Linked DNA regions of Daphnia pulex. The protein of the gene in region 2 binds, or shares a complex with, the protein of the main gene of each other region. Links are inferred from orthologs where the notes say so. Each region holds a gene or a part of one and is shown on either strand. Other genes may lie near its edges.

Region 1 (4,129 bases), on a different chromosome or scaffold from region 2:
TGAAGCAGCTGCCGCCTTCTTGCAACGATCCAATTCAGCTTGGGCTGCTTTTAACTGAGTTTCCCGAATCTTACCGGCATTCTTTAACTGATTCTCCAACTCCTTGATGCGCGATTTACCTTCTTTAATGATGTCGGTGCATTCGAGGGCCTTTTGCTCTGCTGATTCCAATTCCGACTTCATATTTTCGACTTCTTGAGTTTGGCGGTGGTGAAGCGTTTGCTGGAGCCTTTGCTGGAGCAATTCAAATTCGTGCTTTTTCACATCGTAACGCTGTTTCAGAGTGCGATACTGTGCTGAAGCCTGCTCCATAACTCGAAGTTCTTGTTCCGCTTCCTTTAGTTGACGATCTTTTGCCTCAAATTCGTTGCGGTACTGCTTGATTTCGTTAACTCTGAGAATAGCAGATTGGCCAGAAGCTCGACTGCCACCAGTTAAAGTACCACCAGGATCAACGACATCCCCCTCCAAAGTTACTGTTTTACGCATTATCTGATCGTGAAACGTAACTTGTCGAGCTTCGTCTAGACCCTTACAAACAAAGGAGCTGCCAAAAATGTACTTCATTGCCGGCGTCAAGTGGTTCTCAAACTCAATCAAAGATATTGCGGTATGGCAGTTTTCTTTACCAACGATTCTTTTGGCAGTTGCCGTAGTCCGTTCATCGATGGTTCTGCCTTCAATTTTGTTGAGAGGGATAAATGTGACACGTGACTGGAGCTTGCCTCTCTCAAGAAGCTTTTTTGCCGTGTTTTCGCTGTCGACTACTATGTTGTATAGCCGACCTCCAGCAGTAATATCTAGAGCAGTAGCGTAGGACATATCTGGAACTTCAAATAAACTGCACACCACACCTGTTCACGAAGAAAAAAAAGTTAAGAAAAGAAATATAAACAAAGTCACACTATAGAAATGCAACCTTTCACAGTAGATGCGTCGAATTGCCTTTCAGGAGGGGTGTACCGAAAGGCCATTTGAGGAAATCGAGCTTCGAATGATTCAATTTTCTCTCGCAGCGAATGCATTTCCGGTTTCAAGCTTCTTTGCAACTGCTCTAAATTAGTTACTTTCTCTTCATCATAGTGAACCTGCCCAAGTTCGGCTTCCAGTCTCTTAACTTCATTCTCGAGGTGCTTAGAGTTTTGTGCATCTTTTTTATAATCGACCTCCGACTTTTTCATCTCATTAATTTTAACTTTCAGCTCTTTTTTTAGATGTTGGGTTGTCATTTCCGAATGCTTCAACTGCGACTCGGCTTGAGCAACATTCTTTTGCGTGGCCATGAGTTCTTCAGGTAAAGTGGCCGCAGCACCATTGTCACTGGCCAACAAACCAGAACTGATTTCTTGGAAGCGCTTTTGGGCAGCTGTCAAAGCTTCACTATCCTGTTGTTCAGTTTGCCTTAATTTTTCAAATGTCTCGCCTAGTTTACTCTCTTCTACCTCCTTGCCTGTTCCGATGAATATAAATACGCTATAATACTGAAAATATATAAAATAAAAGTTAAAATTTTACCTTCTAAAGCAGCGGTGTCGTCGTCAAGACTTTTCTTCAGCTCTTTTTTCCTCTTTTCTTCAGCTTTAATATTTTCCTTGAGCACCTTAACAGCTGATTGGGCTTTCGATTCGGCTTTTTCTTGAACACGCAATTTTTCTTCAAGCTGTGTAAGTTCTTTGCCACCAACTTGGTCTCTCTGATGTTGAAGAGTATGAATTTCTTTTTCCAGTGCCTCAATTTCATTTTTGAGTTTTTCTTCAGTGGCACAATGATTTGTCTTTTCTTTTAAAATCTCATTGTATTCCTCCTTTACTTGGGCATTAGCTTTTTCAAGGCTGAGGAATCTATAAGCTACATATTGGCGGTTCAAGTGTTCTAATTCACGTTCGGACTTCTGAAACTGCAGGTACTGAGTTCGTTCTTCTCTCAGTTTGTTCAATGTTGGCGTAACTTCTTCTGAAAGGATGTCATTGATTTCTTTGATTTTTTCTTCCTTTTTCTCAATTGTTTTCAAAGCCTGTTGCTTTTTCGCTTCGTACATTCTGGTCCCTGCAGCTTCCTCAATCATGGCCAATATTTCAGGGGGTTTCATATTCAAAACCTGCAATGTGAAAACACATACTTATACACTGAAATGCAACCACAAATTGATGAATGAGTTAAGCACAATACTTTAGTAATTCTTCCTTGCATGATAAGGAAATGAGGATTGTTGACATTTAACTGCACAGAGCGGAAAAAATCTTGGACACGGTTGTTTTGAACATTTGATCCATTTATGAGATACTTGTTTTTTCCACCGATGACAACCTGAAAATATGGAAACATAGACTATATATCCTAGTCATAATGAAATCATAAATAACAATACCTGTCTAGTCACTGTAACTTCATCATAATGCTCATAGCCAATTGGACTTTGTTTTTTGTCTTTGTTATCAAAGGTGACTGTCACAGTGGCTTTCGTGACACCTGCTTGTCCACTTTTGTATACTAATTCTTGCAAATTTGTTGCTCTTACATGGCTCAAATTTGTGATGCCAAGAAGGAAACAGATAGCATCCAGAATGTTAGATTTACCACTACCATTTAGCCCTGTAATGGCATTAAACATTGGATCAAATCCATTGATTTCAGTTCTTTGGCCATAGGATTTGAAACCATCAACTACCATAGATTTGATGTACATTTTTTAAAACACAAAAATACTTGATCACGGCTTGCCAGCCACTCAACGTCTTTTCCCGCTGTTTTCTCCTTTTCCTTTCAACGGCTCAACGCATAACTTACGTAGGCTATGCTTTCAACCCTCAAATACTCTGGATTGGATTTTCAAAAAAAGAAGCCTTTTCCCACCACACTTGATGCGTATGTAAACGCACGATAATTTCGTAGCATGAAAAGTAGGATAAGTGGTAGAAAAGGGCGTTCAGGGGTGTTCAGAAGACAGAATTGACGTGTCACTGTTGGAAGATGAAGATAATTAAGAAATTTAGGGAATTTTTTTAAGTTTGTAAAAAAAAAGTGTGTTTGACCCGATTTTTTATCCGGGCCGTTTTACCCGGCCGGTAAAAATTTTTTGACCCATGGGTCGGCCCGGGCCGAACCCATTTACTCTGTTGGCCCAACCCGCGGAAGAAGAAAAACCCATCTAAAAAACCCATTTAAAAAAAAAAACCGCTAAAAAACGTCCGGGCCACAGCCCTAACAGCGAGTCAGCGACTGCCGACTCATGTCCACTGGTCCACTGACAGCCAGAGAAGCCAGCGGCCCCACCTGGCCCCACACTCAGAGCAGAGAGAGATAGTATGCTACGATGCTACATGCTACGATCGTGATGCTACTGTGGCTCTGGCCAGAGTACCAGAACCACAGAGCAACCAACGGCAACCAGAGGATGCCTAGAAACGAAGAACCCAACGACAAGAACCTAGAAATCGTTAGATTCTAAAACAGCGTCAGATTATGTCCTTTAAATGTTTAAAAAATTTAGTCAAAATTGCTCACTTGTAATTTTTTCCTTTTTTTTTAGCACGGAACATTGTCCCACTTGTATTGCAATTTTTTTTTGTTACGACCAGACACAACTGTACATATCTATTTACAAGAAAATTTCAGTTGTTATCTAAGAATAAATATAGCCCAAAGTGTTCAAAAATAATAAATAAAACTATTTGCTTCGGCTCGTGAAGGAGAAAGGGTGAGAATTAACAACAAGGAGCTGAGCAGAAAAAAAGGGCATACAGTATATCCTTGGGTCTTACGATCAGCACGATTGTGTTTACATGGAATCATGCAAATTTCTTTTTTAAACATAAATTCGATAGCAAACAGAATTGCAAACTTCTCTCTCACAGACAGACAGTCATGTTAAGTCATAGTCATATTATTTAGTACAGAAGGCAAACAAAAGGATAATCGATGTGAACCGAATGCCTCAAACCAAGGCGTAATTAACAATGTAACGAGGCAGGCACATTTCATCAGTGTACAAATGTCAGCACGATCCATCAAGCGTTGGGTGACAAATGTAAAAATCCAAAAGGCCAATTTGACAAACTTTGGGCTTTCCCAATCAACTGCTTGGACAACAGATGACTGGCGAGTCCCAAAAGAAAAGCACAACGCCCAC
Region 2 (4,226 bases):
CTAAGTACTACCTCTGAGACTAATTTGAAGAAATCAATAATTGAACGGCATTCTTACGAAAGGTGCCAGTCTTATCATTTTAACGACCGGTGGTCATGGTTAAAACTTTGTGTTGCAAGTTTAATGGGATGGCGTGCTTAAGGCTCAGCTTGTGCCATAGCTGAAGCGTTTTACTTCTAATGAAAGAATGAACGTCATGCAAGTGTTCCAGAAGAGGATCCAATAATTGATCACGCAGTTCACCCATCCTCTCGTTTAAATCCTCTCCACTTAGTTCCTAAATACCAATTAATATGTAAGGCGATAAAAAAGAGAAAATCAAAAGGAATTCATACCTCCATGACAATCTCTGCAAATATAGAGAGCGCACTATTACGCTAATAGAAACATACATTCTTTCACGTAAAGAAATAATTATTTTTCCAAATTTAACAGACCACTCTCGCTAGGCCAGCGCTTGTGAGATGGAGAATACAAGCAAAGCAGTGCCAATATGTAAACGTTCCACATTCCGTACACTCCAGTGAAGAAAGCAGACGTATATTCCAAATTGATGTCCTCATCCCATTTCCACTTGCCTTCCGATACCTGAGACAGTAATGGTGTTAAAGAGCTCTGCTCATACGATGCACTTAAAATAACTTACTTGACCAAGAATGAATCCAATGACGGTCATAGCAGCACAAAGTAGAGTGGCCAGCATAAGAAACTTGAATCTGTAAATGACACCTTCATAGAAATGTCTGCGAGCGGACGCCATTGCAGGCAACGCCTGACGCTTAGCACTGATATTGCGGAACACACGATAAATAATATATGACAAGAAAAGAAAGTAAACTCCAGCAGCGATTCCAGCAATAATAACAAAGCTCAGCTATAAAACAAACAAAATTGACGAATGAAGAAACAAAATGTCAAGCAAAGCTGTAACCAATTAATAATTTACCGCGATTTGTGTCCCAATTTCATTCGCCCAAATAGAATAGAACGGATTCCTAAGTTGGATGCCTCTTTCGCACATGTCAAAGATGAACATGGACAAACAACCAACTCCAACACAGCTAAGCTGTTTCCAATAACCTCTTAGTCCTTTTCTTTCAGTATCATCCTACATGTTTAACATATTAACATAAATTTGAAAACAAATGTCATAAAACAAATATACCTAATTCTAAAATGTTGGATTTTGTGTGGATGTTAGAAATCAATTAGAGCATTAGTTGAGTTATATGCTAGTAAAGCGAATGAAAAAAATTAACACATTACCACGAGATGTTCTCCGGCGAAAACAAGCCAGAAAGATAATAGCATCGAGTAAAAAATACCCTGTTTCATATCTCCCAAAAGAAGCATGAAAGGCATTTCAAAGCTCAGGGTTAAGTACTCAAGGGGAACTGTAAAAGAACAACAGAGGAGTCAGCAAAACACATTATTTTATAAAACTTCTGATTAAATTACGATTTAAAGTAGATAAAGCGACGCCAAGAGCCAAGAGCATTGATTCCAATAACGTGGGTTGCCTAGCTAATAACTGAACACGACGCCAAAACCAGATCATGACTCCTACTACCATGGGAAAGAAAATTGTCTTCAAAGACAACCAAACTTTGGTAAAACCACCATTCTGATTAATGACGACAAGCCAAAGATCGGATACAGGACCGAGGCCTCGGTTGTTTTCATATATCATCGGGAATCGCAGATTCAGAAGGTAGTAGTCATGATGTAATGCACCAAGTTCAAACAGTGGTAGAAGAGGGCAATTATAAAGGTAACCATCATCCCACTAAAAAAACGAAAATTACAAAAACTTAATTCGTCATTTCATCCTTCAGAAAAATAAATAAATTATTACTTCAGGAGGTGAACAATCCATAGTTCTGCTTTCAGTTGATGTAGCATACTCCTTCCACTCATCATCAGGATCTCCCTTGTTCCGATAACCAAGCCTGGCTTCAATTGTAACAGGAACTCTGGGTTCCATTAGCTCCCTTTCTATAAAATCAATACTGAAGAAAGGGAACAGAACAAAATATTAAAAATTAAAAAATATTTTACCTTTAAAATAGGTAACATCAATTTGTAAAATTCCAATAAGATTTTGCATCCACCGAGAGTAGTCCAATTCAATTCCTCCACGTGGTAGAGGTAACTACAAAATTAACAGACTTGACACTTAAAACCTTTCAAAATACTCTAAATTTTAGATTACATACCTGGAAAGCAAAAACAACATTTTTATCAGTTATATGTCTCTCCTCTGCTTCAGGCCCATGCAAATCATCAATCTTGTCACAACCACCATTAGGTCTGACATAAAAGAATTTGCTTTTGTTTTGACTATTATCATAGCATTTTGTGGCCAAAACAGACTGAACATTGGATGGTGCTGGAGCTGCAATTGAAATTAAAAGAATGTAGTTACTGATAAATGCCCTTTCCCACATTCAAAAATGTTTACAGGAAAAAGCCAGACCACCACCGAAAACCAGACTTCTCTATTAACGGGGTGCTATTTTAAGAAATGTGAGTCACAAAGGTTCATCTGACAGAAGTTAAGACTTACCGACCAAGCCGCCGAGAAGAAAGCATACTAGAAGACATATAAGGAGGAAAGATATCAACACAATCAACTTTCGATTACTCAGGTTTTCAACCACGGCACCTGCCATTACTAAAAAATGGACTTTCCCGCAGTTAGCTTAATACTACACACGCTGCTCTGTTTTTCACGCCGACTTGATTAAAGCTAGGCGTTTGAACGCGCGTCGAACAAAGTAATGAAATGTAAACAAATGAATATTTGGATTGAACAACATTGCCATTGTCTAAAAGATGCCAAGCAGACGACTGCTAATGGCCAACCAGGCAACGCTGTATTTTTTGTTCAAATTGTTGACAGTTTGAAAGTAGACGAGAATTTCTCGTTGTTTTTTAGAAAATGTCAACGATTGAAGAGAACATATCAGAAATTATTAATGTTCTTCAGTCAGTTAATTGTCCACTAATCGTCCGAACTGATGATTGGTGGATTGAGGAACTCTTGTTTACACCAGGGAAACCACGAAAGGATTTAATTCTTTGGATAACTTCGAAGGCAATCGAAAGTGCGTTGCCTTCTACTTTACATTCAGCACAATTAAAATTGCAAGATCTTGATTCCACAGCTACTTCTAGTTCTTCCAGCAATATTAAATTGCCAGAGAGTGATGAAGGTGATTTTATTAATATATTTTTTGTTAGTCTGAATTAATACATGTTGTCCTTCCAAAGCTATTCTTGGATTTTGGTGTGGTGCAAATGTTTGCAGTAAAAAAGATCTACCCTTTATTAAGGTAAGTTTTATTTGTTGTTTTAAATGGTCTGCTGATCTTGCAAGAAATAAAAATTTTTTGATCAATAGGGTGACATACCGAAATATGATCAAATAAAGTTTTGGAACCGTTTGATCAAGCCCCTTCAAATTCTTGCAAAATCACATATTAATACAAATATTGCCTTTGGTGGTGGTTCTTTGAGCAACCTTGTCTCCATGGAAAACTTCTTGGTAATGAGAAAATTGTACTCTATATTATTACTCATAAAGTCTCTATATTAAAATATTAGGATGCTTTTAGCATGAAGGCCACTTTGTTGTCAGCTGATGTACAAAGTGAGATTAAGCAAATTCATGAAATGAAAGGCAGAGACCAATTTACAAAGAAACAGATTGTACTGAGGAAAAATCTGCAAAATGACAATTTGCTCATCCCTAACTTCACTGAACAAGCAAATAGATTGAAAGCTGCTGCTGATCAATTTAATGATATTTTCAACTCTGATTTAAAAATCTGTCTTCCCAAAAGTGGATCCTCTGCTCCACTTTTAGAATTTGGAGAAGAAATAAATAATATCAGAACCAAGGTCACTGCTTGGAAAAAGGTAAATATGCCTTCTAAATATTTGTTTTAATAATTAACTTTACACACAAATTTAATGTAGGGTGCAGATTCTCTACTGGAATTACAACAAAGTACTACCTCTGAGACTAATTTAAAGAAATCTGAAAATCTCTTGAAACGTACTATTAAGGATAAGTCTTTCCCTCCGTTTCAAAAGCTTTGCGGGTCAGACTGATTTTGTGTAAGGAGAATATTAATATACCGACACCTTGTAAATAAACGTAATTATATACTATCGCTCAGGATAGGATACTGTGTTTAAAAAATAATTAGACTAGTCCAAAC

What was found. The genes of interacting proteins can lie anywhere in the genome.
Region 1: condensin complex subunit 1-like (region 2) and structural maintenance of chromosomes protein 2-like share a complex: the UniProt entries of both Homo sapiens proteins name them as parts of the condensin complex. The link is inferred for Daphnia pulex from reciprocal best matches to the Homo sapiens genes NCAPD2 and SMC2.

What each region holds. Positions count from the first base shown.
Region 1 is NC_060019.1:8,746,220-8,750,348, reverse strand, and holds the start of structural maintenance of chromosomes protein 2-like, read right to left. Parts: upstream 2,801-4,129; 5' UTR 2,687-2,800; coding exon 2,369-2,686; intron 2,308-2,368; coding exon 2,170-2,307; intron 2,099-2,169; coding exon 1,516-2,098; intron 1,451-1,515; coding exon 920-1,450; intron 855-919; coding exon 1-854. UniProt on the Homo sapiens protein: Central component of the condensin complex, a complex required for conversion of interphase chromatin into mitotic-like condense chromosomes.
Region 2 is NC_060021.1:6,807,322-6,811,547, forward strand, and holds the start of condensin complex subunit 1-like, read right to left. Parts: upstream 2,801-4,226; 5' UTR 2,673-2,800; coding exon 2,567-2,672; intron 2,396-2,566; coding exon 2,217-2,395; intron 2,153-2,216; coding exon 2,059-2,152; intron 1,996-2,058; coding exon 1,856-1,995; intron 1,787-1,855; coding exon 1,459-1,786; intron 1,395-1,458; coding exon 1,267-1,394; intron 1,109-1,266; coding exon 947-1,108; intron 875-946; coding exon 647-874; exon of another isoform or gene 589-646; coding exon 438-588; exon of another isoform or gene 350-437; coding exon 336-349; exon of another isoform or gene 142-335; coding exon of another isoform or gene 1-141. Other genes in the region: uncharacterized protein LOC124193881, read left to right, coding at 3,098-3,215, 3,274-3,335, 3,404-3,547, 3,607-3,921, 3,982-4,116; uncharacterized protein LOC124193883, read left to right, coding at 1-141. UniProt on the Homo sapiens protein: Regulatory subunit of the condensin complex, a complex required for conversion of interphase chromatin into mitotic-like condense chromosomes.